4 linked regions of the Alligator mississippiensis genome follow. The protein of the gene in region 3 interacts with the protein of the main gene of each other region in a pairwise test. Links are inferred from orthologs where the notes say so. Each region holds a gene or a part of one and is shown on either strand. Other genes may lie near its edges. The genes, in order: PPP1R18, AAMP, VPS52 and NFKBIB.

What was found.
Region 1: the proteins of VPS52 (region 3) and PPP1R18 interact in binary tests that used the Homo sapiens proteins (3 or more experiments, as listed by UniProt). The two-hybrid records come from large-scale screens. The link is inferred for Alligator mississippiensis from reciprocal best matches to the Homo sapiens genes VPS52 and PPP1R18.
Region 2: the proteins of VPS52 (region 3) and AAMP interact in a two-hybrid assay, tested with the Homo sapiens proteins (2 studies listed by BioGRID and IntAct). The link is inferred for Alligator mississippiensis from reciprocal best matches to the Homo sapiens genes VPS52 and AAMP.
Region 4: the proteins of VPS52 (region 3) and NFKBIB interact in binary tests that used the Homo sapiens proteins (3 or more experiments, as listed by UniProt). The two-hybrid records come from large-scale screens. The link is inferred for Alligator mississippiensis from reciprocal best matches to the Homo sapiens genes VPS52 and NFKBIB.

Annotation. Positions count from the first base shown.
Region 1 is NC_081834.1:53,469,580-53,477,526, reverse strand, and holds the start of PPP1R18 (phostensin), read right to left. Parts: upstream 3,002-7,947; 5' UTR 2,495-3,001; intron 1,789-2,494; 5' UTR 1,782-1,788; coding exon 1-1,781. Other genes in the region: NRM (nurim), read right to left, coding at 6,499-6,819, 7,052-7,231, 7,313-7,515, 7,603-7,726.
Region 2 is NC_081827.1:253,654,819-253,661,920, reverse strand, and holds the start of AAMP (angio-associated migratory cell protein), read left to right. Parts: upstream 1-4,099; 5' UTR 4,100-4,188; coding exon 4,189-4,291; intron 4,292-4,564; coding exon 4,565-4,732; intron 4,733-4,811; coding exon 4,812-4,931; intron 4,932-5,032; coding exon 5,033-5,172; intron 5,173-5,293; coding exon 5,294-5,438; intron 5,439-5,610; coding exon 5,611-5,694; intron 5,695-5,788; coding exon 5,789-5,904; intron 5,905-6,223; coding exon 6,224-6,327; intron 6,328-6,527; coding exon 6,528-6,618; intron 6,619-6,854; coding exon of another isoform or gene 6,855-6,896; exon of another isoform or gene 6,897-6,915; coding exon 6,916-7,070; intron 7,071-7,102. Other genes in the region: TMBIM1 (protein lifeguard 3), read left to right, coding at 1-94, 231-295, 386-450, 558-611, 768-818, 914-953, 1,054-1,091, 1,221-1,308 and 3 more; probable hydrolase PNKD, read right to left, coding at 2,787-2,955, 3,082-3,250, 3,889-3,982. UniProt on the Homo sapiens protein: Plays a role in angiogenesis and cell migration. In smooth muscle cell migration, may act through the RhoA pathway.
Region 3 is NC_081834.1:64,784,533-64,791,456, forward strand, and holds the start of VPS52 (vacuolar protein sorting-associated protein 52 homolog), read right to left. Parts: upstream 3,007-6,924; 5' UTR 2,823-3,006; coding exon 2,754-2,822; intron 2,670-2,753; coding exon 2,585-2,669; intron 2,506-2,584; coding exon 2,453-2,505; intron 2,374-2,452; coding exon 2,298-2,373; intron 2,009-2,297; coding exon 1,941-2,008; intron 1,529-1,940; coding exon 1,353-1,528; intron 1,270-1,352; coding exon 1,119-1,269; intron 901-1,118; coding exon 800-900; intron 693-799; coding exon 560-692; intron 333-559; coding exon 275-332; intron 175-274; coding exon 41-174; intron 1-40. Other genes in the region: RPS18 (small ribosomal subunit protein uS13), read left to right, coding at 3,219-3,221, 3,445-3,543, 3,678-3,764, 3,904-4,005, 4,858-4,949, 5,057-5,132. UniProt on the Homo sapiens protein: Acts as a component of the GARP complex that is involved in retrograde transport from early and late endosomes to the trans-Golgi network (TGN).
Region 4 is NC_081838.1:1,160,545-1,167,464, reverse strand, and holds the start of NFKBIB (NF-kappa-B inhibitor beta), read right to left. Parts: upstream 3,008-6,920; 5' UTR 2,918-3,007; coding exon 2,574-2,917; intron 2,484-2,573; coding exon 2,378-2,483; intron 2,288-2,377; coding exon 2,086-2,287; intron 1,957-2,085; coding exon 1,868-1,956; intron 1,338-1,867; coding exon 1,101-1,337; intron 938-1,100; coding exon 890-937; 3' UTR 1-889. Other genes in the region: SIRT2 (NAD-dependent protein deacetylase sirtuin-2), read left to right, coding at 4,092-4,107, 4,188-4,234, 4,431-4,482, 4,631-4,747, 4,960-5,001, 5,542-5,648, 6,004-6,060, 6,719-6,787. UniProt on the Homo sapiens protein: Inhibits NF-kappa-B by complexing with and trapping it in the cytoplasm.

The sequences.
Region 1 (7,947 bases), about 11 Mb from region 3:
CGGGCTGGTCGGGCCCCCACACGCCTCATGGCCTCCCCGTCGCCTGGCTCCTCAGCGCTGGCTGGCGGGGGCGTCTGCTCACAACTCAGGGAGGAAGCAGAGCTGAGAACAGCCACGGGCTTTGGGGGAGGAGAAGGAGAAGTGCCGGTTTCCTGCCTGGGTTCGGCGGCGTCGGAGGAGGGGGGAGGGGAGCTGCTGGCCCGCCGCGGCACCACCATGAAGGAGTTGCGTGACTGCAGGCGCAAGCTGGCCAGGGCCTTGGCCTGTGTGTCGGCATCAGGCTCCAGCATGGCTGCTGGGCCTGGCTCCAACGCCTCACCTGTGCTCATCACATCCAGCAAGGTGGCCTTCAAGTCCCAGCCTCCCCTCTCTGGAGAGGCAGCCTCCTTGCCCTGTGGGCTTGGCATGACTGTGTTTGGGCCACTGCCATCGTGCCTCGCGCCCCACTCTGGGGAGAGGGCCTCCTTGTCCTTTAGGCCTGGCCCCGCAGCCACTGAGCCACCACCTCTGGGCTGGGCCCCGCTTTCTGGCAAGGCGGCCTCGGTGCTTTGGGGACCGGGCGCTGCTGCCAGCCGATCACCGCTGCTAGGCCTAGCTCTCCTCTCTGGAGAGGTGGCCTCCCTGCCTCGTGAGCCTGGTGGTACCGTGCCCGCCGCACGACTGTCACTGCCAAGCCGGGGCCCCCTCTCTGGCGAGGCTGCCTCTTGGTTCCAAGACTTGCCAAGCGAGAAGCGCCGTGGAGGGCTCTCCAGCCAGGCCTCGCCACTAGACCTGGCTTCAAACTGATTGCGGAAGGAGGCCACCGTGAAGAGGGGCGCTTGGGGTGGTGCGGAGGCGCCAAGCCCTGGCAGGTCGCAGGATGGGCTGGAAGACCTGCCATGCTGCCGGGCCAGGCCAGGATCCAGCTTCCTGGTCTCCAAGGGGTGCTCATAGGAGCCATCAGCAAGGTTCTCAGTGCTGAGGGACCTGACCGGGCGCTGGGGCGGCCCCACACCGCCACCGCCACCGTCCTGGCTGAAGTGGCTCAGCAGCTTGCTGACCCGCCCACGACGCTGCTCTGGCCGCGCCGACTGGTAGCCCACATCCCCGTGCCCCTGGCCACAGGAGTTGAGGTCCTCCGCACTGCGGCTCACGGTTGACTTGACGATGAAGACCTCACCCGCCCGGATCTCCGTCACGCTCCCGCCCGGCCGCACCAGCAGCTCATTCAGGGACTCCACGCTGCCAGATTTCACCTCCGCTGGCCACCGATGCCGCTCAGCCCCTGTGCCCAGTGGAGCCCCTTCGACGTCGGGCACCGACTCAATGATGATGACGTTGTCGGCCCTCAGGGTGCGGATGCCAGGGATCTGACTGTAGGCGTCCGCCAGCTGCTTGGCCTTGGCGCTGGCTGGGTCGCTGTCCGGTGCCGCTGTTTCCTTGCGGCGCTTCTCCAGCTGGATGAAGGGGTTCTGGTGCACGGGGCCAATCTTCTCCTGCAGAACGGCGCTCTCCTCACTGCTGGGCTCCTCCCCAGGGCTTGGGGCTCCCACCCCAGCCAAGGGGGGCCCAGCTCCTCCACTGCTGCCACCGCCGCCCTCGCTGCTGCCTCCAGGCTCAGAGAAGGAAGTGCTGGAGCCCTGCTTGGCACGGCGGCGCTCGATGATCTCCCGCTTCCATGCAGGCATCTTGGCCATGCGGTCCTGCTGCTCCCGCTCCCGGCGCCGCGCCTCCTCCTCTTCCTTCCGCTTCCGCTCCAAGAGCATCAGCTTCCAATCGGGCAAGGACGAGGGAGCCGACATCGTGGCCCTGGGGTGGGGGGGCAGGCAAGGAAGGGAAAGTTTAAAGGGCAGAAAGGAGGACAAAGGATTGTAAGAGAGAAGAATGGGAAGGAGGAGGGATAGAGAGAGCCAGGGAAGGAGGCCTGATTTAAGAAGAAAGAGTGTCAGGAGGAAAGAGGGATGGTGGAAGGAATGGAGGCTGGGAGAGAGCGGGAAGGGAAGGAAAGAGAGTCAATGATGGAGGAAGCGGTGGGGAAGGAGGGCTTGCGAAAGGAGGGACTGAGAGGCCAGGAAGAAAGGACAGAGGAGGGTGAGGAAGAGAGCGGGCATGGAAGCCGGGCGAGGGAGAGGGTGAAAGAGGGACAGGGTGATGGGGAGGTCGAGGGGGAGGCGGCGCCGGGATCACACGGGCTTCCGGCAGAGAGAGAAAGGAGATGAACCAAATTCTCCCCCCTCGCAGCCGGCTCCGCCTGACAGCCCCTCCCTGCCCGCTGCCGGCGGGGCCTCCTGACAGCCCGGCACGCGGCGGCCGAGCGTCCCCGGGGCCCGGCCGGGAGGCCACGCGCTCCGGAGCCCGACCCAGCCTGCAGCCCGGCGGGGGCAGGGGCAGGGGCAGGGGCCGGGGCAGGGGCCGGGCGCGGCGCGGGGGACCCCGTCGGGCTTTCCTGGGGTGGGTGGGGGCTCCTTTCAACCCACCGGAGGGGAAGGGGTGCGGGAGGGGGCAGCATAATTACCCCGGCGAGCGGCGGGACCCAGGCGTCCGGGCTGGGAGGCTTCAAGCGCTCCGTGGCTCGCAGGACCCGGGCGTCGGAGTGATGGGCAGGGAGGGAAGGAGGCTCCTTTTGTCCCGGGCGGGGCTCGGGGGTTCCGGACCGCGGGGCAGACGGAACCAGGCGCCCGCCCCGCGCCGGGCAGGCAGGCAGGGAAGGAGGGAGGCGGGGAGGGGGTTCCCGGTCGCGGGAGTTTCGCGGAACCGGCGTGGGGGTGGGGGCAGCCCCGGGGACCCAGGCGTCCGGGGGCGGGCGCCGCGCGGCTGGGCGGGCCCCGATCCGGGGGGCCCCGATCCGCCGGGGCGGGCGCTGCCGCCGCCGCCGCCGCCTCCGCCGGGTCTTTGTGTGTGAAGGCGCGGGGAGACAATGCGGGGCGGGGCGGGCGGGCGGGGGGCGCCGCGGGATTCCTGCACAGCGCCCACGGGCAGCGGCCGCGGCGGGCAGAGGCCGGCACGGATTGACTGCGCTCGACAGAGCCGGGCCCCAGCGCCCGCACCCGGGCAGGCAGGGATCTGCGGGGGGAGGCGGTGTCCTCCACACCCCCCGGCCTCCCCTCCACACCCCGCTCGTCCCCCTACGCGCGCGCGCACACACACACACACACACACACAGCCCCCCTACTTGTGCACCCCCAGCATCTCACACACCCCTCCAGCATCCCCTTACACACACACACCCTCGCGTCCTACACCCCCCACCCTCCTCCTATGCACATGCACACACACATACACACACCCCAGCATCCCCCTACACGCGCGCGCACACTTTCCTGTAGGGTTGGCAAGCTGGTCAACTGACCACATATTTTTTTGCCCAAAGATTATAGTGATTTTAGGAATATATATTTGTATGTTTCTTGATGGAAACAAGATTTTTTTTTACTGTTTTCTGACACACTTTATAATGGAAAATTTGTGGTTTTTCTGCATCGTATTTGGACCTGTTGACATTTCTGGGGGGTGTTTTTTGTTTTGTTTTCTTTTTTACAATAGTTGATGGATATTTGACAGGTCAATTAAACAAGCTGTATTTGACAGGTCAAATACCTAACTTTGCTTTGCTCCTTGTTCACGTGGTTCCCCAGCCAGACACGCGTGTCACACAGGCTCCTTACAGCCCCCACTCCCGCCCCTGGCTCTCCATCCAGGATGTGAGCTATGCACGGCCTGACCCACTGAGAGGGGAAGCCAAAGCCTAGGGCAGGCCTCAGCCCCCCTGTTCCCAGCAATGTCAGCTGAGGCCTGCTCTGCTTAGCTCTGACCACCAAGGGGTGGCCCCTGCCACATCTCCAGCCCTGCCTTTGTGGGAGCATTGCTATACACACAGACTCCAGCGGCCAAGCTGAGGGAACAGACACAGCATCACCTTCACACTGGCACCAGTGGGGAGACATGGGGTGTTGCTCTGGGAGAGTTCATGTAACAACACTCCCCCCCACCCCCCAAGAGAATAAGTGCTGATGGATATCCCAGGTGAAGGCTGGTACCAGCTTGTTCCACGGTACAATCATTTCTGAACTCTTCATGTGGGTAGCCTCAACACCTTGGGAAGTGCTTCACTCAGCTCTGTCCCACAGTACAGACACCTCCCATCCTAACACCCCCAGTTTCAGCTCTCTTCTTACCATCCCCTGGAGCATTAGCTCCAAAAGAGAAAGGAAAGAGGGTGATACTACACCCACAGTCAGTGCGGGTCCCTGGTACAATGTTCCTAGACTGCTATGCGGCGAACACTTGTCTTCCCTAGGGTAGCCCCTGCTGCTGTGTTGGCACAGTTCCTTAGTGAAAAAGTGTATGCCAACAGGACTTTTTCACGGCTGTAGAACAGGGTGGCACCAACCAGGCCTTGGTGCAGACACAGCTCCACCAGCAAAGACATGTTTTCTGCTGCGCACCGTGAGCTGGTGAGTCAGCATCTCCGGCAGAGCTGCTGGTGGCACAGCTCTGCCCATCAGGGGTCACATCCTGGACTGACTCAGCCTTGCCAAAGAAAGGTTGCAATGGGGACAGAGTGGCAGGTGGGGAAGTAGAGGACGGGGCAGGGGGGAAGTCACACAAAAACACTGATGGGGGAAGGAGGGAGACTGATCTGGGAGTAGGGAAAAGGGGTCCCAGGGATACAGGTGGGTATGGAGAGGGAACATTAGGGTAGCATGGGCAAGCTGCCCCATGACCCCGTGTGTGTAATGCCTTTGGCTGACCAGAACAGGGTGCAGTACCCAGTGCCTGGCATCTCTGTGGCAGCAATGCCCTCTAGTGGGAAGAACAGCAACAGCTCATGTGCTTGTAAAGATGTGCTGACAGGCAGGAGCTAAATTTCCCTCCTTCCTTAGTGCCAAGATGATGCTTTGGGAATAGGAGGACCCGAACTTTCTGCCCCAAGCTCCCTACCACGTCTAACAGCCCAGATGAAAAGCATGCAATCAAGAGATGGATACCCCAGACACTTTCATTCCAGGTATATTGCAGAGAGTGAGACAGAGCACTGCGATACGGCTTGCTGGCTGCATACCCAAGTGTTGCCCTAAGCCAGGCACCACCACCCTCCCTGAGCTGCGGAGAGAACCCAGGAGTCCTGCCCCATGCTGTGCTACCCGTCTCACAGAAACATGTTTGTAAATGCAATAATTCTCTTTAGTTATTTATTTGTTTGTTTGTTTTAAACTAGCCTTTTCCCAGATCACTCAAAAACCCAAGATACAAAAATACTTTATCAGCTTCAGGTTCAAAACAAAACAAAACAAAAGAACCAAAAAAACCCCCACATGCACAAAAAGGCAGCGTTAAAAATAGAGGTTCTTCATTAAGGCATCGATTAAGGTTGGGGTTGCTTTCCTGAGTCAGAAATAGGACCCAGGTATCCTGAATCCCAGCTCAGCCTCTGCTCTACCCACAGGACCCCCTTCCTGAGTGCTGGTGATGGAACTCAGGGGTCCTGATGCTCAGCCCCTCTGCTCTAACCCATCGGACACCATTCCTCTCCAAGACGGGGCCCAGGGATTCTGGTGGACCCAAAATGTCCCAATCCCCATAATGAATTAAGCATTAAGCTAGAACACTTGCATTAAGCTAGGAGACCTGAACATCAGCAGGCTTTGGATTTTGTGGCACAGTTCCTAGCTAACTTTTAATAGGAGCCTGGCACTCACTGCAGGGAAGAGGCCCTATGTCCTGATCCCCATGTCTTGACTCCCCTGCTCTCCCCACACCTTCAATGCATCCACTGGCCACTGAAGTGTGGGAGGTCAGAGCCAAGGCCCCAGAAAGGGATGGACTTCCCTTCCTATTAATCATCCCTCCTTTCCAGCTCATCTTCATATCACTCGAGCCATTTTTTTGCCTTGTACCTAAATACAGAAGAAACAGTACCCTACTTTCATTTTTAGAAACCATTTTTCAAGACTTTTGCAGCAGAGATTGGCGACACGTCCATCACTATGGGGAAGGCAGTAGGGAAGAGCCCAGGAGTCCTGATTTCAAATGCCTCTGAAACTATTAAACCCAGGGCTCAAAATAGAAGGCAGGAATCCTGACTCTGGACCTCCCCACTGTAACCCAGACTTTACTCCCCTCTCAGAGCCAGGAATTGAACTTAAGGACCCTATGAAAGAAGAGTGTTACAATGGGGGAGGGAGGAGAGAGACCAACCTCTACCGAGCTCTGTAAGGCCAACGGTATCTAGAAAGTGGAGCTGGGCAAGTGGGCTGGGAGCCTGGACTCATGGGTTCTACTGCAGCTCTGGGAAGGAAGAGTGTTCCAGTGGGTCACAGCATGGGGAAGGGAGCCTAGACTCCAAGGTTGCTTTTGCAGGCAGCTGTGACTTCTAGGGACTCAGGAGAGATCCTAACACTACAGTACTAAGTGCAGAGCTAAGGGCATCAGTGCTTGGCAAGGTGGGGGGTGGGGAAGGGCACCACTGCGCCAGACCTCCCCCTAGGTAAAAGCCATCCAGCAGGGTCCTGCTCCCACTCAGCTCTCCTTGCTCAAGACAGGGCCGTTGCGGGCCAGCAGGTCCCCATAGGCAGCTTCCTCACGGGAGAAGACCTGGAACTTCTTATCAAGCTGGGCACGGAGGTAGAGGTAGTCCTGTTGGTCCAGGCTGTGCCCGCAGGTCATGTAGGCGGTGAAGAGGGTGGCCAGCAGGAGGCGGTCCAGGGAGAGGCAGGGCACGGCCCACAGGATGAGGAGAAACTCCAGGTACACGGGGTGGCGCAGGTGGGAGTAGAGCCGCACGGCACGCACCGACTTCAAAGCCAGGGGGTCACCCATGCCCAGGCAGTGGTAATAGACCTGCGGCAGGGCACGGCACGGCATGAGGGCAAAGCAGGTTGGAGCCGAGAGAGGAAAGCCCCCAAGACTGCCCCCCGCGAGCCCAGGCAGTGGTAACAGACCTGGGGCAGGGGACCTGCAGCAGGTTGGAGCCAAGAGGGGAAAGACCCCAAGACTCCTTCCTCCCCCTTTCCACCCCCCCAAGCTAATCCCAGTCCCTGAGCCCCTGGATCCTCCTCCCTCCACCCAGTACCTGCTTGACCCCCATGAGCTCGGCGTAGTCGAAGATGAGGATGATGCTGAAGATGATGAGCCAGGCCACGAAGTGCAGGATGAAGCAGGCCAGCAGCACCCAGGTGGCCCAGGGCTCCGAGCGGGAGGCGTCCCACAGCAGCGGCCCGTCCCGCACCGGCTGCCAGCACCGCATCAGCACCTGCGGGCGCCCGCTCTGCTCAGCCCGGCCCGGCCCGGCCCGGCCCGGCCCCGCCGCGCCCCGCCCCGCCCCGCCCGGTACCTGGAGCGCCAGCGCGGTGCAGCACACGTAGCAGGAGCGGTGCAGCACGCCGAGGCAGCGCGCGGCCCAGCGCTTGGCCGGCGCCGAGGCCATGAGCCAGTGCTGCAGCACGAAGAGCGCCACGAGCCCCAGATCGGCCGCCAGCGCCCGCAGCACGCGCGGGTCCCGCAGCGCCGCCGCCCACTCGCGCCCGGCCGTCGGCTCTGCACGGGGCGGCAGCGGGGTGAGCGCGGCCGCCCCGGGGCTCGCTCGCCCCCCCGCCCCGCCCCCAGCCCCGCTCCCCGCCCTACCCGGCCGCGCCCCGCCGGGCAGCACGGCGCGCAGCGACACGAAGCGAACCAGCTCCACGCCGGTGCCGAAGGCGAAGAGGAAGCTGCCCAGGGCCGGGACCACGAGCAGCAGCGCGGGCGCCATGGCGCGGGCACCGGGGCGGGGACTCCCGACTCGCGCCTCCAGCCAGCGCCGCCCTGCTGGGGAGGGGCTTTCCCCGGGGCTCCCCTGTGACGCGACTTCTCCTAGGGCCCGCCCCCAGGTGGGAGGAGCTCCCGCAGTGGGCGGGGCTCTGCGGATGCTCCATTCTCCTGTCTCTCGCTGGGGTCTCGCCAGCTCCGCAGCCCTGCCCCGGGGTCTCCCAT
Region 2 (7,102 bases), on a different chromosome or scaffold from region 3:
TACCCGCCACCCGCCCCCTATGGGCAGCCAGGCTACGGGTACCCGTCTGCGGGGGCGCCAGTGCCCCCCATGCCCACGCTGCCCATGAACTTAGGTAAGGAGAGCATCCTGTGAGGGGGGGCAGAACTGGGGGGTGCCTCTTTGTAGGGGGCAGTGCCTTCCCATCCACGGGGGGCACCCGGGGGTCGCATGGGCCCGGGGAGGGGCACTGAGGGAGCTTCCCCCCGCAGGGGACGACGCCATCATGGCCACCGACTGGGAGGACAAGAAGGTCCGGCATGCCTTCATCCGTAAGGTAGGGGGGCAGGATTTGGGGTGGGGGGGCACAGCCCCTGGCCCTGTCCCTGCCCTGGCTGGGGGTAACGGCCCCCCATTTGCCCCCTAGGTCTACACCATCATCTCGGTGCAGCTCTTGGTCACCGTGGGCATCATCTCTGTCTTCGTCTTCGTGTGAGTGTGGGGGGGGCAGAGCTGCCCTAGGGGATAGGGGGGCATTGGCTTTGGGGGGGGCAGGATGGGGTGCCTTGCCAGGCTCTGACTGCCCCCCCCCCCCGCAGCTCCCCCGTCAGAGACTTTGTGCGCAAGAACATGGCCGTGTACTACGCCTCCTAGTGAGTACCCCCTGAACCCCCCCCCGTGAACCCCACCAGGACCGGGGTCCCAGTGCCGGGGGCTGCAGAGCTCTGGGCTGGCAGGACGGGGGTGGGGGGGGTCCCATCCCCTCTGCCGGTGGGGGCCAGGCGGGGTGTGACGGTCTCTCCCCCCAGCGCCGTGTTCCTGGTCACCTACCTGACGCTGGCCTGCTGCAAGGGGCCCAGGTGAGTACCCGTTGGGGGCGGGGGGGGGGCAGGGCATCGGGACCCCCCAGGATCGGGGCCTGACCCGTGTCCCGCCTCCTTCCTTCCCTCTGCAGGCGGCGCTACCCCTGGAACATCATCCTGCTCGCTGTCTTCGTGAGTGGGGGCTGGGGGGGCTGTGGGGAGGGGGGGGCCCGCTCCCTTACACCCATGGGGGCCTTGGCCCACAGCTGACCCAGCCCCACCCCCTCTGCAGACGCTGGCCATGGGCTTCATGACGGGCACCATCTCCAGGTACTGTGGCCCCCCCATACCCTCCCCCAGGCTCCTGGCACCTTCATTAGGTGCCAATTGGGAGCCCCAGCTTGCCCCTGTGGGGTGGGGGTTGGTCTGGACCCCCCCAGACTGACCCCCCCCCCACAGCTGGTATGGCACCAAGGCCGTATTCATCGCCATGATCATCACGGCCATCGTGGCCATCGTGGTCACCGTCTTCTGCTTCCAGACCAAGGTGAGGGGGACCGGGCGGTGGGGGACACAGCTGGGGACCCCCACTCCTGAGAGCCAGGGCAGAGCCCCCCTTCCTGAGCACGGAGCCCCCCTGGCTGGTGGGACCCCTCCCTCAACCTGGTGGGGGGCACCGCCCCCCCCAGCCGGTTCAGCCTGGGGCTGACCTTTGACCTAGACCCTCCACATGGCAAGTACGGACCAGGCAGGAGCGTTGCCCCTGCCCCCTATAACCGCCCCCCACGACCACCCCCCAGGTTGATTTCACCTCCTGCACGGGGCTGTTCTGCGTCCTCGGCATCGTCATCACGGTAACGGGCATCGTCACCGCCATCGTCCTGTCCTTCAAATACGTGAGTGCGGGGTGGGGGTGAAACCCCCCCGCAAGGCATTGTGGGAGTGGAAGCAGCCCCCCCCACTCCGCTGTCTGCTGAACACCCCCCCGTGTCCCGACCTGGTGCCCGGACTCAGCCTCCTGCCTGGGAGGGGAGCAATATGCGGAGGGGGGCAGCAGTGTGACCCCCTCCCCTTCCCTCCCCGCAGATCTATTGGCTGCACATGCTGTACGCGGCCCTGGGCGCCATCGTCTTCACCCTGGTGAGTGGGGGCCGGCGGGGGGTGCCCACACTGGAGGAGGGGGCACGGCGTCGGGGGGCCTGGCCCTGACCGCCTGCCCCCTCTCCCCCCCCGGCAGTTCCTGGCCTACGACACGCAGCTGGTGCTGGGCGACCGGAAGCAGGCGCTGGGCGCGGAGGAGTACGTGTACGGCGCGCTGCGCATCTACACCGACATCATGTACATCTTCACCTCCGTGCTGCAGCTGGTCGGCCGCAGATAGAGCCCGCGTCCCGCCCGCGCTGCCCGGCTCCGTGCGGCCCCCGGGCATGCTGACGCACGGGGGGAGGTGGGCCCTTGCCTTATTGCCCCCGCCCCTCCCCAGGGCCTGGGTGCGTCCCGGCCCCACCAGCCCGGGATGGGAGGTGCTGCGCGGGGCGCACGTGGGACGCTGGCTGACACGTGGGCACATGCACGTGCTCTGGACACGTGGCTGTACCCGTGTCTCTCCCCCTCCCGCCCCGGGGCTGCTCCGTGCCTTAACGGTGCATGCACCAACATGGCGGCACGGTACGGGGGAGGGTAGAGGGGTCCCCAGCAAAGGTGGGGGGGGCTCTGCTTGCTGCACCTGGCACCCCATGGCCAGCCCTGCCCGGGACCCCCCACAGCGCCAGGCAGGGGCTGAGCCTGCTTCGCCGACACCAAAGAGCCTGGACTGGATGCTGCCAATAAAGTGCCCGTCTGACACCCGCCGCCTGTGCCTGTGACTGCCCTCGCGGGGACGGGGTGGGCATCAGGCCCCTGGGCTGGGGGCACAGACCTCTCCGGACGGACCCTGCGCGGCCCCCCACACTGCACCCCGCTCAGTGCACACACACAGGCAGGGTTCGTGCTGCTTCAGGTTTATTCAGGCCCCGTGGGACCCGGCTAGGTGCGCCCCGCCCTGTGCAGCACCCCCCGGTACTGCTGCTCCGCCTCGGGCCCCACGTTGGCCCTCTTCATGTTCTGGAGGCTCTGGAGCTGCTCGACACGGTTGTGGTCGACCTTGTGCTTGGTGAAGAGGAAGAGGAGGATGCCCAAGGGGAAGCCGATGGCCCTGGGGGGACCGAGGCGGTGGTTAGTGCCTGCGGTGCCCCTCGCTCCTCACCCGCAGCCCCAGTCTGCGTGTCGTGTGCTAGGGCTGACCCGTGCAGCTGGAGACCCCGGGGCGGCGGGCACTCACCAGGCCACCCCCACGGCGCGCATGGGGTTCTTGGCCTTGCGCGTGGGGATGTACTCGATGGGTGGCGGCCCCGCGGGGTCCGGCCTGGTCTGCATCTCTGCTGAAGCCTGTGAGCGGCAGGGCTGTGGTGTGCGGACACCGGTGCGGCGCGCCGCCGCGGAGAAGAAGCCTGCACAAGGGGGGAGCAGGGTCACGGGCACACGTAATGTTGAACCCGCATTACAGCGCTGCCACACCGGAGGCAGTGGGGCAGTCGTCGGGGCGGGGATGCCACCCCACAGCTCCCTGCTGGGAGTTAAGGCCCCCGCCGCACCTTACATTTGTTACACAAATTGACTGGTGAATCGCGCAATAAATGTAGACGGGCCCCAGGCCGTCACTGCCCGGACACGTGTAACGCCCCAGAGCCGGGCGGCACATGTTACATACGTGATGCTGTGGACGGGCGACTCGTGTGATAAACGCTGAGCGGAGCTGAGGGCAGGACGCACGGGGGACACGGCTGTGCTGGACGGGACCCCCAGCCCCCTCCCTCCACCTGGTCTGACCTGGGCCTGGCCCAGGCAAAGCGGGGCAGCGCCTTGCTGCAGCGGGGGAAACTGAGGCAGGGGGTGGGCCCTGCAGAGCCCCGATCCGGCGGCGCTCGTGCGCAGGCGCAGGGCCGGCCTCTCCCGAGAAGCTATCGCAGGAGAAACGCGGACAGTCGCGGCCCGCATTAGTGCGCATGCGCAGTACCCCCCAAACCCTTAAGGCTTTCATGCGGAGTTGGGGTGGGCGCTATCCCGGGGCTCCCCGCGCCGCACTCACCCCGCAGCCCGGCCGCCGCCATGTTGCCCCTGCGCCGTCCCGACACACCCCGCGCGGCGGCCGAAGGCGGATCGGGGACTACACTCCCCAGCATGCCCCGCGGCCTCGCGTATGGCGCGGAGGACAACCTACCCTGTTGCGGGAGGGGCAGGGCCCGGGCGATGACGCGCCTGCGGATTGGCTGCAGCGGCCCTTTCCTCGCTCGCCATTGGCGGAGCCGCGCCCTCCCCTTCCCACCGCGCCCTGCTCCGGCGCTGAGGGGAACGCGGCCCAGCCCGGCGCGGCGCAGCGCAGCGCAGCATGGAGCCCGCCGGCGGCCCCGGCCCCGGCCCCGGCCCCGCAATGCTCTTCCACGGCGACGAGGAGATCATCGAGGTGGTGGAGCTGGGCCCGCCCGGCCCCGGTGAGCGCCCGCGGGGTCACGATCGACCCCTCCTCCCCCCGCCCCCCGCGGGGTCACGCCCCGCCCCCCGCGGGGTCACGACCTCCCCCCCGCGGGGTCACGCCCCGCCCCCCACGGGGTCACGCCCCTCCCCCATGCCCTCAGTTGGGGGGGTGCGTACCCTCCCCCACCTCTGCCCCTCCCCCGCCCCTCATGGGGGTCACGCCCCTCCCCCACCTTGCGGGGGGGCGCCCCCCAGTGCTGCAGGCTCTGACCGCGGACCCCCCCCCGCAGACGAGCTGGCGGCCGAGATGCAGGACGTGGACGTGGACGCGGACGCAGACGAGGGGCCGGAGGACGAGGCCTGGGACACGGAGGAGGAAGAGGAGGAGGGGGGGGGTGCGCGGCACGGCGGCCCCCCCGCCCCCGACGACAGCGAGGTCACCTTCGCCCGGCACTCGGGTGAGCCCCGTCCCCGCACGTCCCCGCGCCGCGCCGTGCCGCGCCGTGCACTGACGGACGTGCGGCCGTGTCCCCCCAGCCTCCGTGTTCTGCGTGAGCCTGGACCCGCGCACCAACACGCTGGCGGTGACGGGCGGCGAGGACGACCAGGCGTTCGTGTGGCGGCTGAGCGACGGGGAGCTGCTCTTCCAGTGCTCGGGTGAGGCGCCCGCGGCCGCGCCGCCCCGGGCGGGGGTGGACGGGGCCGCCCCCCCTCCCCCCGCGGCCCCCGCGCCAGCTGCCCCCTCTCCGCCCCCGCAGGTCACAAGGATTCGGTCACCTGCGCCGGCTTCAGCCACGACTCGGTGTTCGTGGCCACGGGGGACATGAGCGGGCTGATCAAGGTGTGGCGCGTGGACACCAAGGAGGAGGTCTGGTCCTTCGAAGTGGGGGACTTGGAGGTGAGAGTTGGGGGGCCGGGCAGCGGGGAGGGGGTGCAGGCCGAGGGCCCGGTCCCCTCGCCCCGCCCCGCCCCGCCCCGCGTGGTGCCTGGGCTCCATGCGTCCTCCTCCCTCTGCCCAGTGGATGGAGTGGCACCCCCAGGCCCACGTCCTGCTGGCGGGCACGGCCGACGGCAACTCCTGGATGTGGAAGATCCCGGGCGGAGACTGCAAGACTTTCCAGGGCCCGAGCTGCCCGGCCACCTGCGGCAAGGTTCTCCCCGACGGTGCGGGCTGCCTTGCCTTGCCCCCAGTGCGGCGCGGCCGGGGGAGGGCGTCAGGGCATCGGCGGTGCTCGTTGGGGGTGGCCCCTGCGGCGTGCGGCGGGGAGGGTGTCCCCGGGCGTGCGGGGGTGGGTCTTGGGGGTGATGAGAGCCGCGAGCCCCTCTCTCCGTCCAGGGAAGACAGCGGTGGTCGGCTACGAGGACGGCACCGTGCGCGTCTGGGACCTGAAGCAGGGCAGCTCGATCCACGTCCTCAAAGGTAGGCAGGGCTTGTCCCAACCTGGGGCTGGGGTCGGGTTTGAGGGCCGTTGGGAGTGGCGGTGCCGTGGGGGCTCACCCCAGGTCCTCCCCAGGCCAGGACGGGCACCAGGGCCCCCTGACGTGTGTGGCCAGCAGTAAGGACGGCAGCCTGGTCCTGACGGGCTCTGTGGACTGCCAGGCGAAGCTGGTGAACGCCGCCACCGGCAAGGTGAGTCTGTGTCATCTTGGGACTGAGTTGGGGGGACACCCCTGGGTGGGGGTCTCTGCTGATGTGCTGCCCCAGGAGCCTTCTGCATGCACTGCTGCCCCAGGAGTGTACTGCATGCACTGCTGGCAGCGGGGCCAACATGCTGGGGTGCACCCTTGGCCCAAGGCAGCTCATCCCCGCTTGCTGGAGCCCTCGGAGGGGGGGGTTGTGGCCGTATTCCTGGGGGTGGCATGGCCCAGGGCCCCCTTGCAACGTGGTGCCCCTGCCATGGGATCCCCGCTGGGCTACCGAGTCCCCGGCTGACAGGCGTGTGCCGCAGGTGGTGTGCGTGTTCCAGGAGGGGAGCGCCGCCCCGCAGACCCCAGCCGGGGCGGCCGAGGAGCCCGAGTCGAACTCCGTGGAGTCGCTGGGCTTCTGCAATGTGTGAGTGCGGGGGTCAGGGTCGGGGTCCTGGCCATGGGGTGGTGGGTGTTGGCAGCCAGGAGTCACGTGATCTCTGCCCTTTGCCTGGGCTACCCTTGACCGCTGCATGGAGCAGGGGCTCTGCCTGTGACTTCCCCCCTCAGCTGCAGTGGTAGTCTCTGCCCCTGCTGCCCCCGTAACAGCTTCCCCCGGCCCCCCAGGATGCCACTGGCCGCCGTGGGCTACCTGGACGGGACGCTGGCCATCTACGACCTCTCCACGCAGAGCCTGCGGCACAAGTGCCAGCACGAGGTATGGGGCGGGCTGCCTGGGGGCTGGGCCTGCTGCTTCCACGTGCCCCTGGCTGGGGGGTTCCTTGACTATCCCACAGGGGAAGGCTGCGCCTAAGCCCCCTGCCCCCGCTCTGCGCCTAAGCCCCCTGGATCCTGTCTCTGGAGGGGGTCATTTTCTGCATCTTCCTGGGGTCCCGGTGGGGGCTGGCCTTGCTGCACCTCGAGGCAGTGACCCCTTGGCAGGGGCTCCCCCAGCTGGCCCTGGCGCCCCGGGGGCTGCGGCCGTGCCCAGGCTGACGCGGGCGCCGGGTGGCAGTCGGGCATCGTGCAGCTGCTGTGGGAGGAGAGCGCGGCCGTGGTGTACACCTGCAGCCTGGACGGCGCCGTGCGGCTCTGGGACGCCCGCTCCGGCAAGCTGCTCAGCGAGTACCGGGGCCACGGTGCCGAGATCCTCGACTTTGCCCTCAACAAGTGAGTGCCTGTACCCAGCTCGCCCCGCTTGC
Region 3 (6,924 bases):
CCCCTGGTGGTGACCCCTGCCCTCCCCCACCCCTGCTCACACGGACATCACTCTTCTGGGCCGTGTGTGGCACGATGATGGGCCCCTCCAGCTCGGCCGCCCCGATGACACTGCCCCGATTGCCCAGTGTGAAGATGGTGTTGCGATTCTTCAGCGATGGCTTGGAGAAGAAGCGTGGGACTCACGAGTCAAGGGGAACACCAGGGAGATGCTGCTCCTCCCCCCACCCGACACCTCCCTGCCTCCTGCCCCGTGCCCTGGGGCAGCAGGATATCCTTTTTCGCCGTGTCCTCCACGCCCATCAGGTCATCTTTGTCAGCCACCTCTTCATACTGCAGCACAGATGAACAGTCAGCACCAGGACCCCAGCCCCATCCCGCATCCCACAGGACAGACAGGCAGCCAGGGAGGTTCACCACCACAGGGCTGCACCGTTGCCCCTTGCTTGTAATATGGGGGAGTCTGGCCCAGTCATCCCACTGAGTTCCCACCATACCCCCCAGCCATGTTCCTGCTTGGGCTGGGGGCCCTGCACTCCCCAGCAGCATCGTGTCCCAACCTGGATCTTCATGAGGCGGCTGGTGTAGGACTTGAAGTAGGACAGATAGATCTTGCTCATGGTCTCCACGTACTGCTCCCGCAACTCCTGTGCCACCGCCCGCTCGTTCCCTAGCAAGAACTGGTAGAAGAACCTGGAGGACATGAGGCGAGGGGTGGTGTCTGTGAGTCTCCAGGAGCCTGCCCAGCTGCTGCCCCAAGCTGAGGAGGATGCTGGAAGGTCCCCCTACCCCCAGCTCACCTGTACTTGAGCAGAGCATTCTGGGGAATCTGGTAGTTGGTCATGGGCTTGCGGAAGGAGTAGATCTTCTGCAGGATGAACTCCCGGATCTTGGTCACTGCCTGCTCAGGGAAGCAGAGAGATGTCATGGGAGTCATTGGGCACCATGAGGCTGCTGGAGCCCCCTGCATAAGCAGGGAGGAGAGGAAAGTCCACATCTCCTCCAGGCAAAAATGAACAAGAAAAGGATGGGGAAGACCCCTGACCCATGACCTTCAGGGAATGGTTCCCCCTGGCCTTTAAGCCTAGGTCACATGGGAGAGGGCGGATGGACCCTCACCTTGACCTTGAGCTTCTCCAACACGTGCTGCACATCGGCACAGGCCATTGTCTCACGGAAGGCCTGCTCCTTCACGTAGTTAATCTTGTTGTTGAGCTCGTGCAGCTGCTCTAGGAACTCCTGCTCCGTTACCGGCGCCTCCAGGATGGTACTGGAGGTGGGATAGAGTCATGAAAGGGCAGCCCAGAAGACACTTCCCTCCCCCAGCCCCTGGATTGCCCCAGGCCCCCACACCTGATCATGTTGGCGGGCACAACAAGCTCATCGACCAGCTGGCTGAGCTGGCTGCGCACAGCCTGGCGGTTCTTGAGGCGCAGGTTCATGGCCACTGACTGCTCCTGCAATGTCTGGATCTCCGAGCTGATGCTACTCAGGTCGCACTGGAAGGTGCTCAGCATTTGCTCCATGCGCTGGGCCAGGGCGTCGGAAGAGCAAGTGTCAGAGAGGCCAGACCCTTGTGACCCACCCATCCACACTGGGGCAGAAACCATCTCCCCGCAGCAGACACACACACACACCCCGGATGTCCTGCCAGTCTCCAACCCCAGCACAAAACAACCAGGAGCAAAGGGAAGGTAAGCTGTTCTCACTTCCCTGCCCATCCCACCCCTGCAGCCACCCCCTCTAATGTTCAATTTGTGAGAGGAAAAAGAGAAAGGGGGTGTTTCACCCCTGTAGAAGCAGTGCTGCCAGTGCCTATGAAGCTGTCAGGAGTGGGTGCAGTAGGCCCCTTTCCGGGTGGGGTTGCAGAGAGTGATGGGAACTGAAGGGGGTCTGCTGGATGGAGGGCTGTATGTGTATGTGGGGGGGGGTGTGTCTCACCTCCAAGATGGTGTCACAGGCAGTGATCTGGTTGTGCAGGGAGGCAATGTTCTTGCTCTCTTTGATGTCTGTGGGATGACCAGGGTCGTTCAGGAAACCAACAAGGAAGTTGGGGGGGGGACTGGAAAGCCAGCCCCAAGATACAGGGAGGGGGGCGGGGTACCAGAGACATAGCGGAGCACACCCCTCCCTCCAGGTGGAGCCCCCTGTCTGCAGTGCTGGGGATTGGGCAGGGGCACAGAAGACCCCATCCCAAACTCCCCCGGGCGGGGGTAACTGAATCCTCCCCCCTCCCCGCTTCACGCTAGGCTCAGCAGAGGGTGGTTGAGGGCATCTGTGCGCCTCCTCCAAGGATACAGTCCCGGATGGAGGCATGCTCATTCTGCTGCAGTTCCAGCTCCACCTGCTTGGAGTACTGCCGGAGGTCCACGCCCTGCGCAGGGGAGGGGGTCACACAGGCCGGGGGGGCTGGCCGCAACCAGGGAACAGCAAGGGAGGAGGTGGCAGCTTACCGTCTTCAGCGCCTCCTGCACCAGGGCGTCCTCAAGGTTGGCTTGGATGTGAACTGGGGGTGAGGAGCGGGAGTCAGCGCTGGCCCCACCCCACCCCCCTCGCTCCCAGCGCCCCCCCGCGCCCCCACGCACTGTCCACTTCGTCCAGGATGAACTCGTCCGAGGTGAGGTCCAGGTCCCCCAGGTTCAGCGGCTGCTCCTCTCCGCGCCCCGGGGGCTGCACAGGGGGGAAGGGGGGGTACAGCTCAGCCTGGGCCGGGGCTGGGGCGCAGGGCGAGGGGCAGGCAGCCCGAGGCCTCACCGTGCCCTCCTCCTCCTCCGTGTCGCCCGCCCGCAGCCCCAGCTCCTCCGCTGGCCGCAGCGCCGCCATCGCTGCTCCGCCCCGCCCCGCGCCGGCCACGGGAGCACTTCCGGCCTGGTTCTCCACCGAACTACATCTCCCAGACAGCACCGGGGAGCTGACCGGAAGTGCACTATTCAAGCCCTTTCCGAGCTGGAGTGCGGCCGGCGGCCGGAATCCGGCACCCGGGGGAAAGGAGCCCTAACGACGGTTTACAGCCTCCGGATCCCTGTGGGGTCAGGTTTCCCACCCGGATGCCTTTTACTGCTACCCCCGCAGGAAGTCACTTCCGGATATTCACACCCAGCCGGAAGGGGAACAGCCCCGACCGGAAGCCGCGGAGCCCCTTGGGGGGGTGAATACCGGGCACTGCGTCACTTCCCCTTTCTTTTCCGGACGGGGCTGGAGCGGAGCGGAGCGGGCACCATGGTACGGCCGGGCGGGGGCGCGCGGCGCATCGGGGCCCATCCGTGCTGGGGCGCGGGGCACTGCGGCTGCGGGGCGGCCCTTGGGGGGGACGGGGCTGGGGCTTCGCGCCCCGCGTCCCATTTTTCGGCGGGGCCCCCGGGGAGGGCGCAGGGGGCCGGGGTGGTGGAGAGCCGGGGGGCAGAAGGCCGCAAGATCGCCCTTGACCTGCTCCTGCCCCGCGCAGTCGCTCGTGATCCCCGAGAAGTTCCAGCACATTCTCCGCGTGCTCAACACCAACATCGACGGGCGGCGCAAGATCGCCTTCGCCATCACCGCCATCAAGGTGCGGGTCACCCGGCGGGGGGGCTGCGGGTCCGTCCCTGGGGTAGGGGCTCGTCCTGCAGGATCCTGGCAGGGCTGGGGCAGACCCCCTCTCCAGAGCTGAGGCCTGTATTTACGCTCTCCACTCGCCTGCAGGGCGTGGGCCGGCGCTATGCCCATGTGGTGCTCAGGAAAGCAGACATTGACCTGACCAAGAGGGCCGGGGAGCTGACGGAGGATGAGGTGAGGAGGCCGGGGTGAGGGTGCGGTGCAGGGTGCTGTGGGGTTTGGCTGCAGGGAGTGGTGCTGGGGAGGTCTGCTGTGGGGGGTGGGGAGCCCCGGCTGACCTTAGCTTACAGAAACCCCCTTTCCCCGCTTGCAGGTGGAGCGCGTTATCACTATCATGCAGAACCCCCGGCAGTACAAGATCCCCGACTGGTTCCTCAACAGGCAGAAGGACATCAAGGATGGCAAATACAGCCAGGTGAGTGGCGGGGCTCCTTCCAGGCCTGCCATCCCCCAGGGCTCGTGACCGGGGGCTGAGCCTGGCAGGGGAAGGGACCGTTACACTCAGGATGGCTCGTGGGGCTTTTATTTTATCTGGAGAAGAACAACAGAAGCCATAGCTAGCTCCTCTGATTAACAGTTGTTTGATAGGGATGTTATCAATGTGGCTAAGAGCAGTTACACGTGTCAGACAACATGTAGACACTTGCTGCAGGGGGAGATAAGGTCTCGGGCTTCCACGATCCCCTCCTAACGGCTGGGGGCAAGTTCCAGACTCTCACTCCTGTGGCTTGGCATGGGGGAGTTGGATACGGTTCAGGTCTGTGGTCTTGCTCATTGCTGTCGGAGATTGAGCTTTTGACTGAAGGAGCAGGGAAACTGAGTTATGGCCTGCCACTCGTTCTTTCCTGGGGTCGCCTTATCCGCACAGGGTGTGACCCTGGTCTCCACATCTCTGCTCTCGAAACTGTCGCTTAACAGCTGCCTTCTTTTGCGTGCTAACGGCTGAGATTCATACTGAACTGCTTCTGGGCCCTAAGGATCTGTGCGGAGGGATGTAGCGACCTACCCAGCACCGCAAAATGGGGTGGGAGGGGGGCAAGGTTCAGGACTCTCCAACAAGGGGAGAGCACCAAGGGTCTGAGGTATCCCAGACACAGGTGAGCTCCCACGTGGTTGTGGTTCTGGGAGCTGTGGGGCCTGTCCTTGGTGCTCCCCTGCCAGCAGCCCACATGTGTGTAGTTCAGCTTCTCCCACATGGTGGGGCCTGGGCTGGCTGACCTCAGCCCCAGCTAGGCTGCATCTCTGACCTGCTGCCTCTTTGCCACAGGTGCTGGCCAACGGGCTTGACAACAAGCTGCGTGAGGACCTGGAGCGGCTGAAGAAGATCCGGGCGCATCGTGGTCTGCGTCACTTCTGGGGGTAAGTGGGGCTGGGGGATGGGGCGTGGCGCTGCCCACAGAGGCAGGGTGGAGGGCAGAGCGGGTGATATCTCAGCTCTGACCGTTATCTCTTTCCTTCCACTGCAGGCTACGTGTGCGAGGCCAGCACACAAAGACGACAGGCCGCCGCGGCCGCACTGTGGGTGTCTCAAAGAAGAAGTAACCTGTTCCCTGTGTATGTAATAAAGTGCTGTTCTCAGACCTGCCTCCCTTCTCTCTCTGGAGGGATGAGTCTGGGGCAGGGCTGGTGGGAGAAGCAGGACGTGGGGCTGCTGTTCTCTTCTATCCTGGGCAGGGAAGTGTGTGAGACAAATGATAGCAGCTACCTGACAACCCAAAGAGTTGATCTTTGTCCCTGTCTCCTGGGCTCTGAGGGGTTCACGGGCAGGAGGTGCTTATGTGAGGTTGAGGTGGGGCAGGGGTGTGTGCAGGGACTCGGTGTGCAAGAAGGGGAAGGTTACACTGACACTTGTCAATGGATACGGGGTGGCTGTATGGCCCAGGCAGGTGAGTATTTTCCGGGACTAGGAGGCGGGCAAGGTCTCACTTTACAATGTGACTGACGGGTCCCATTTTTTCATTTTCACCGACACACTTCTGGGATCTTGCATGAAGACACCAATGTGGCTCCCCTGATCCTGCACCTGGTCCCAGCCCTGAGGGAATCCCTGTCACAGCCCGTCCCTCAGGGTAGAGGGTGGGCAGGGACTGGGGCAGGGCTACGGTCTCCCTGTTGCAGGAGCTGTTTCAACCTGGCCTCTACTGCTGCCCTGCGCCCCACACCAAGATCATTTCTGAATCCCTACGCTCGTAGCATTGCCCACTAGAAGGACCATCTCCAAATTCTCATCCTTCATTTACGGATCCCTGCAGCCCCCATGGGTTTATCACTTATTTTGTGTGCCCCTCTCAATGTTGCCCCCTGCCCCCTCTTCCTCTGTTCCGTCTTTTGTATTGAAATCACTCTGCATTTGATCTTCTGGTCCATTCTAGTCCTTTCATAGTAGTGATGAAGTGAGCATCTCTGCTTCAGTTAGGTGCCCAGATGCTGCAAAACGCGGCCCTACTATACCTTTCTGAAACAATGGCTTGTGTGTTGGGGATGGGCTCAAGGCCCCCTTCTAACCTGGTTCCCAGGGGCTCTAGCCCCAAATACTTCTATGCTCTCTGGCCTTTCAAGGCTCATCCAAAGGCTGTAGGAGTTGACAGCAGCTGGATCAGTGGGATCTGCACCAGAACTAGGGTTTCTGCAGGACACTGTCCCCAACAAACCTCTCCAAGCTCCTGCTCAGAGTCAGGAGTTGGATAGTCCTGTCTGGTGCGTGGTGGCAGCCCCAGGCCTTGCACCAAGAGTCCTCTACAGCCAGGAGCTGTCATCAGGTCTGTTCTGGGGAAACAGGCACAAGGGTGAGTGGGGAGCAAAGTGACTCAGCTGAGGTCCCAGCAGGGCCTGGTGCCTGGGCCCCCTAGTCTGTGCTCTGCTTTAGTTCAGACCAACCATGGTAATGGAGGGACCCCAGGAGCCCTGGACTGCAACAGATTTGGGACCAAAAATATGTCGACTCCTGAGTGTAGCGAGTGCCTGGAGTGGTTCCCACCTGACCTGACCCAGCACCAGTGCCCTCAGCAGGTACCTGCTGCTCCTGCTTCTCGAGTCCCTGTTGGGGGAACCCAGTTACCTTAAGCCATGTGGATGCACCGCCCCATCCTGTCTGGCCTCCAGTCTGTGGGTGCCAGTCAAGAAATGGCTGCACCTCTGCTGGGGCTGCCTGTGGGGCACACTTTGGGGGTGTCCTGGGGCTGGGACGGGTCTCACAGGTTGTCTTCTCCAAGCCCTGCACAGATGCAGGCTGGGCAGTTCCTAAGCTGTTCCAGCCAGACACCCTTGAGGCCTCCTCTTGCAACCCCCAAGGAAGGAAACATGACTTCCCTGGCAGCTCGTCCCACCTTCTATG
Region 4 (6,920 bases), on a different chromosome or scaffold from region 3:
TGGGGCAAGAGTTTTAATCACGTGCCCCCCCCCACCCAGCCACCCACCCTCGTTAACATACACAGCACAGGGCAAGATCCAGACAAGAACAGGACAGGCACGCAGACACGGACCACGCAGACGCACGCTGGAGTGGTAGGAACGACACGGGGGGGCCACACCACACACAGAGAAGCTGGACGCACACGGAGAGGAGACACACACGCCCCTTTCCCTGGGGCAGGGCCGAGGCAGGGATCGGCAGCTCCCCGCCTCCAGGGCTGGAGGAGTTGCAAGGGGCGGGTGGGCAAAACCTCCCACAGCTGACGGAGCAGAGACAGAACCCGGTCCTCCCCCTGGGCACCACTGTGTCCACACTGGGATAGGGGACCAGTCCAGCCCAGTATTGGGAATGGTCTCTCTGGTCTGAGAGCAGCATTTCCCTGCCCCCATGTCTGCACAGCTCGGGGCTGAGAGGTGGAAGGGGCAGTTCGGGGAGGGATCCCCGACTTGTGCCACCGCTGGAAGGAGATGGGGTTACTAGAGCCCAAAGGTCACGGGCACGAGAGCCCAAGAGTCTGGGATCCTAAAGCGGGGGGGCGGCAATCGGCACCGCTCTACAGACCTCAGGTCTTTGGCAGCCGAGATCTAGAGCTGGTAGCCGCCGCGGCAGGGGCTCCTCTACACTAGGGCAGGCAGGTGCTGGCGAGGTAGGGGCCAAGCCTGCCCTGCCCGCGGCACAACAAACTGGTCTCAGGCCGGCAGGAGATGAAGGGGCCCCAGAGCGGGCAGGGGACGCGTTGGGGGTCCGGGGGGCCACTGGCAATAGCAGAGGCCGGGCCGGGCAACGAGGCTGTCCCAAATCCACCCGCAGAGGAGAGGAGAGGGGGGCAGGGGAGACCACCCCCCATCAGTTCTTATAATATCCACTGTTGATGATGATGTCGTCATATTCATCCTGGAGGGAAAGGGGAGAGACGGAAGGAATTAGGGCGGAGCAAACGACTGAGACCTCCCCAACTCGTCTCATTAACGGCTGGGGGGGGGGGGGATCTAACCACTAGGAGCTTCCCACCCAGCCCCCCCGGGGGCAGGAGGGTCCCCACAGCCGCCCCACTCACGTCGCTGGCGTCGTCGGGACTCTCCGGCTCCGAGTCCCAGTCGGGCTCCTGGGAGCCGAAGTCCCGCAGCAGCTGCGGGATCCTGCGGTCGGGCCGGTGCAGGGCGCTGTACAGGGGCGTGTAGCCCACGTACATGCGGGCGCCGGGGTCCGCGCCGGCGCGCAGGAGGCACTCCACCACCTCGGGGCACTGCGCTTCCACCGCCAGGTGCAGGGGGCTGCGCCCACAGCTCGGCTCCTGCCGGCACAGGCCAGGGAGGGGGGGAGGGGGTGGTAACGCCCAGGGGCAGATCTGGAGGTGGTGGGGGGGCACCCCCCGTCGACCCATCTACCCAATCTGTAAACCCAACTGCGTGGCAGGGGCAGCCGCGTTTCTACCCAGGCAGCCTGGACTCGACTGACTTCACCGCTCCCTCGTTCCTGCTAATCCCTTTGCTCCGCAGGCGTTAACGACCCTCTCTCCTCGCTAACGATCTCGACATTGACTGTTCCAACCATCCCGTCCTGCCCTGCCGGGTCCCCCTCCCGGACGCCGCAGACTCCCCATCCCCGGAGGGGCTCCCAAGTCACGGCTCGGGCGCGATCTAGCGCAGCGATGCCTCGCGGGACTAACGAGATGCCTTCTTGTGACCGGATTTTTCTAAGCTTTCTACCAACAAGCGAGGTGGACTTAACCCAGCCCCCCTCTGGGAGTAAAGCCGCTTTTCTCCTCGCGTTACGTCGGCTGCGATCTGCCTACAGCAGTGCCGCCCCCCTGCCGGCACTCACCGCCTTATCGAGGTCGGCGCCGGCGCCCAGAAGCAGCTTCACCATCTCCACGTCCTTCTGCAGCACGGCCACGTGCAGGGGCGTGAAACCTGCGTGCGGAGCGAGGCGCGGGATGGACGCCGGCCTCGGCCGCCCCCCCCCACGACAGCTCCCCGGGGGCAGGGGGGTGGGTGGGTGGGTCGGGGAGGGGGTGTGCCCCCCGCGGCGTGCGCGCGTACCGTCGTAGTTGGCGCAGTCCAGGTAGAGGCGGGCGCCGGGCGGGGCGAGGAGGTGTCGGGCGCAGTCGCGCCGGCCCTCGCGGCAGGCCAGGTGCAGGGCGGTGCGGCCGCCCTTCTCCCGCAGGCCCAGCCCCGCGCCCGCCCCCGTCAGCTTGCGCACGAAGCCGGCGGCGCCCAGGATGGCGGCGATGTGCAGCGCGGTCTGGGGGAGACGCGGGGGTGGGGTGAGGTGAGGTGAGGTGAGGTGAGGTGGGGGGCGGGGCCGGGGGCGGGGCCGGGGGCGGGGCCTCACCTGGCCCAGGTCGTTCTGCAGGTCGAGGTAGGCGGTGCCGCGCGCGAAGTGCAGGATGGAGTCGAGGAAGGGCTCGTGCTCGTGGATGACGGCCAGGTGCAGGGCGCTGCGGGGAGGCGCAGGTGGGCGGGGCGGGGTGGGGTGGGGGAGGGGAGGCAGCCCCCCGCCCCCCGCCCCGCCCCGCCCCCACACCTACGTGTCGCCGTCCTCCGTGAGGAAGCCCAGCACGTGGCGCAGCCAGGCCTCGGGGGCCACGGGCGGCGGGTCGCGGAGCCGCACCGACCCCACGCCCTGCGCCAGCGCCCCCACGGCCGCCGCCTCCTTCTCCTCCTCCTCCTCCTCGTCCCCCAGCGCCGAGTCCAGCCGATCCCGATCCCGCTCCCGCTCCCCGCCGCCCTCGGGGCCCGGCGCGCCCGGGAGCGACAGCGGCCCCTCGCCTAGCGAGCCCAGCCCGCTGTCGCACCACTCCTCCGGGCCCGCCTTCGTCTCGCTCTCGGCCTCCACGCCCCGCTCCGCCTCGGCCTCGGCCTGGCCCGACATGGCGGCAGGGGCGCCGCAGCCCCGGGCCCGCTGCACCGACGGGAGAGGGGGGCGGGGCAGCTCCCGGGGAATCCCCGCCGCCCACCAATGCGCGCCCGGCTTGTTGCGGGGTGGGCGGCGCGCGGGGCAGGCCGGGAGGACGGGTCCTGGCGCGGGGCAGGATGGGAGATGGAGTCTAGGTCCTAGCGTAGGGCGTGATGGGGGGATGGAGCGAGAGGCATCATGGGAAGTGGAGTCTGGCTCCTGGCGCGGGGCATGATGGGGGGTGGAGGGAGGAATGGAGCGTGGGGCATGATGGGAAGTGGAGTCTGGATCCTGGCGCGGGGCATGATGGGGGATGGAGTGCGGGGCTCTCCGCCCAGGGCGTGAGGGGGGAGAGGGGACTGGAGCGTGGGGCATGGTGGGAAGTGGAGTCTGGATCCTGGCGCGGGGCATGATGGGGGATGGAGTGCGGGGCTCTCCGCCCAGGGCGTGAGGGGGGAGAGGGAACTGGAGCGTGGGGCATGATGGGAAGTGGAGTCTGGATCCTGGCGCGGGGCATGATGGGGGATGGAGTGCGGGGCTCTCCGCCCAGGGCGTGAGGGGGGAGAGGGGACTGGAGCGTGGGGCATGGTGGGAAGTGGAGTCTGGATCCTGGCGCGGGGCATGATGGGGGATGGAGTGCGGGGCTCTCCGCTCAGGGCGTGAGGGGGCAGAGGGAACTGGAGCGTGGGGCATGATGGGAAGTGGAGTCTGGATCCTGGCGCGGGGCATGATGGGGGATGGAGTGCGGGGCTCTCCGCCCAGGGTGTGAGGGGGGAGAGGGGACTGGAGCGTGGGGCATGGTGGGAAGTGGAGTCTGGATCCTGGCGCGGGGCATGATGGGGGATGGAGTGCGGGGCTCTCCGCCCAGGGCGTGAGGGGGGAGAGGGGACTGGAGCGTGGGGCATGATGGGAAGTGGAGTCTGGATCCTGGCGCGGGGCATGGTGGTGGACGCGGGGCGTGAGGGGGGAGGGGGGAATGGAGCGTGGGGCATGATGGGAAGTGGAGTCTGGATCCTGGCTGGAGTACGGCTCTCACCGCGGGGCATGATGGGAGCTCTGGCTGTGTCTCCTCCCGTCATCCCCCGTGGATGGCTCCGCTTCCGGTGACATAACGCGGGCCCCGGAAGTGCGGGGCCCAGGAGCGGGGCCCATGGCCGAGCAGGAGGGTGAGGCCCCGCCCCCGGGTCCCCCTGCCCCCTCCCTGGGGTCCCCCCCTCCGTGACTGACCCCCCCCCTCTGCCCGCAGCTCCGGGGGCCGCAGACGCGGGGCCAGGCCCGGGCTCCGACTCCCCGGTGAGTCCGGCGGGGCCCAGCTGACCCCTCCAGCCCCAGCTTGCCCGGCTGCAGCCCGAGCCCGCTGCCCCTCGCCCCTCGCCGCTGGTTCGGCGACCTGCGACGTCGCCTTTGTCTCAGCGGGGCGGGGGGCGGGGGGCTGCGCTCTAAACCCGCGGTAACGGCGCGCTCCGCTCCACTCCGCTCGTCTCTTCAGGACTCGGACTCCGACTCGGACAGCGGCGCCGGCGCCTCCGGAGAGTCCGAGAGTGAGTGCTCGCACCCCGGGGTGGGGGGGGGGCGGCTGGGAGGAATTTCGTGGCTCCTGCATGACCCCCCCCAGCAAGCCCCGACCGGCAGTGCGGTCTGTGAAATGGGTCCGTGCGCGGCGGTGACGGCTGCCCTTCCCCTCCGCAGTGGAGTTCCTGCGGACCCTGCTGTCGCGCACGCTGGGCCTGGGCGGCGAGGGGCCGGAGAAGGTGCTGGAGGAGCTGACGCTGGAGGGCGTGAGCCGGTTCATGCTGAGCGACCAGTGTAAGCCCCCGCCGGGCTGGGACGGGACCCGGGCAGGCGGACGCTGAACGCCTGGGACCCTCCCCTCCCCCTCCGGGTGTTGGGCCCCCGGGGGGGGCGCTTACCCTCGACCCCAAGGCAGCACGGAGGACCCTGCTGCGGGCGAGGGGGGGGATGGCGCTTGTACCCGGGGCGGAAGTCACCCCCCCGCCCCACCCCCGTTTATCTCGCAGGCAAGAACGTCGTGTGCATGGTGGGAGCCGGGATCTCCACCTGTAAGTACCCCGGCTGGACTAACCCCCCGCGCTCCTGGGGTCAGGGGTCAAGCCCCCCCACGCTCGCTGCCACTCGCTGCAGCCGCTTCTGGGGTGCAGCGCAGCAGCTGTGCGTACGGGGCTCACTCCCTTCACTCCCCCCCGCTGCCCCCCTTTGGAGCGTACCCCCGTTGGGCGGGCAGCGACCGGATCTTCTCGCCTACGACGCATGCTTCCCCCCCCGCCCCCCACCCCAAACCAGCTGCTGGAAACGGGCACGAATGTGACGCGTGGGAAATACGGTAGCACGGTAAGAGCTGCTTCTGCCGGAAAAAGCCGGGCGGGCACTTTGTTCCGGGGCACGTTACACATGAGGAAACGTGAGGCAGGCAAACGCGGCTGAGTCTGGGGTGGAGCGCGGCAGCTGCGGGTAACACCGGTGGGGCCAAAGAGAAGATCCTTATGGGACCCCAGCCCACTTCTTCCCCCCCCCCTGCATCTCGACCCCCACCTCCAGCCAAGGCGCAGGCCCCTGAGCTGCCTCCCCCCGGTGTCTCCCAGCTGCGGGGATCCCGGATTTCCGGTCGCCGGGCACGGGGCTCTACGCCAACTTGGCGAGCTACAACCTGCCGTACCCCGAAGCCATCTTCGACATCCGCTTCTTCAAGGTATGGGCCCGGGACCCTCTTCCCTGCGCCCCTTCGGCCAGGCACTGTGCTCCCCTGCCTCCGCTCCCCTCCCCTCCCCGCGCACATCTGGGGTATGCCCCCGAGGCCGTACCCACAACAGACACCCCCCGGCCCCCTTTCTCCCAGGTCAGGATCGGTCACCCGCAGGGCTGGGGGACCGATAATGAAGCTGGGCAATCTCGAGGTGGCTCTGATTGGGGGGGGGGGGGCTTTCCCCCTAATCAGGGCTCAGAGTGTAGCCCGCTCTCCCCCCACGGGGGTAGTAGTGATGTGGGGGAAGCTGTTTAAAGCTACGCGCCCCCAGAGACTTGGCCGTTTGCTTTTTTCCACGCAGAAAAACCCCGAGCCGTTCTTCGCCCTGGCTAAGGAGCTGTACCCGGGGCAGTTCAAGGTAAACCCACCCTGCCCCAGCCCCGAGGCGCCTGGGAGCCAGGATGCCTGGGTTCCCTGCGCAGGGAAGGGGCTGGGGGTGAGAGCAGAGCCAGGACGCCTGGGTTGTGCCCCTGCTTCTGCAAAGCGGAGGACCTGGGCCCCGGACCCCTGGGTTCAGTGTGGCGAGTTGTGCCCCATTTTGGAAAACCGCCCAGGTCCCATCGGGCCCAACCCCCACACAGCCTGGCGTCTGCCCCCTGCAAGCTCAGCTGCCCCATGGGGCTGGGGGGTCTCCAGCCTGTCACCCTGCCCTGGGCTGGCCAGCAGCCCCGACTCCTCTGGGATCGTTCTGATGCCGGAGCTTGCTTGCGTTAGAGCCGTGACCTTGCAGTGCCAGCCTGCCCGCACCAGCCCCCACCCGCAGCAGCAGGGAAGACCCTGCCAGTGCTATCAGCTGCGTCTCACCCATTCCCCCCACCCCCCAATGGGCCTGGGTCGAATATGTGCCTCCTTGCTGGGCAGCACTGGGTGGGCAGGTGGTCCTCACCCCTCCCAGCCGGTGCCCAGAGCCTCCTGGGGTACAAGGGCTGGACTTAAGGGAGTGGGTGCATGGTTAAATTGCCCTTTCTCCCCTATGGGGGGGGGACACGGAAGTGACTGTCCCCGCTCTTCCCCAGCCCACCGTGTGCCACTACTTCATGCGCCTGCTGAAGGAGAAGGGGCTGCTGCTGCGGTGCTACACCCAGGTGAGCGAAAACCCCTGGGGTGGGGGGCATGATCAGTGGCAGGGGTGGGCAGTTTCACCCCAGCTGTGCCCAGTCATTCCCACTCCCCCAGCCCTGTAAGCTGGCCTGGGCACAGGGCTCATGGCTGGGACTG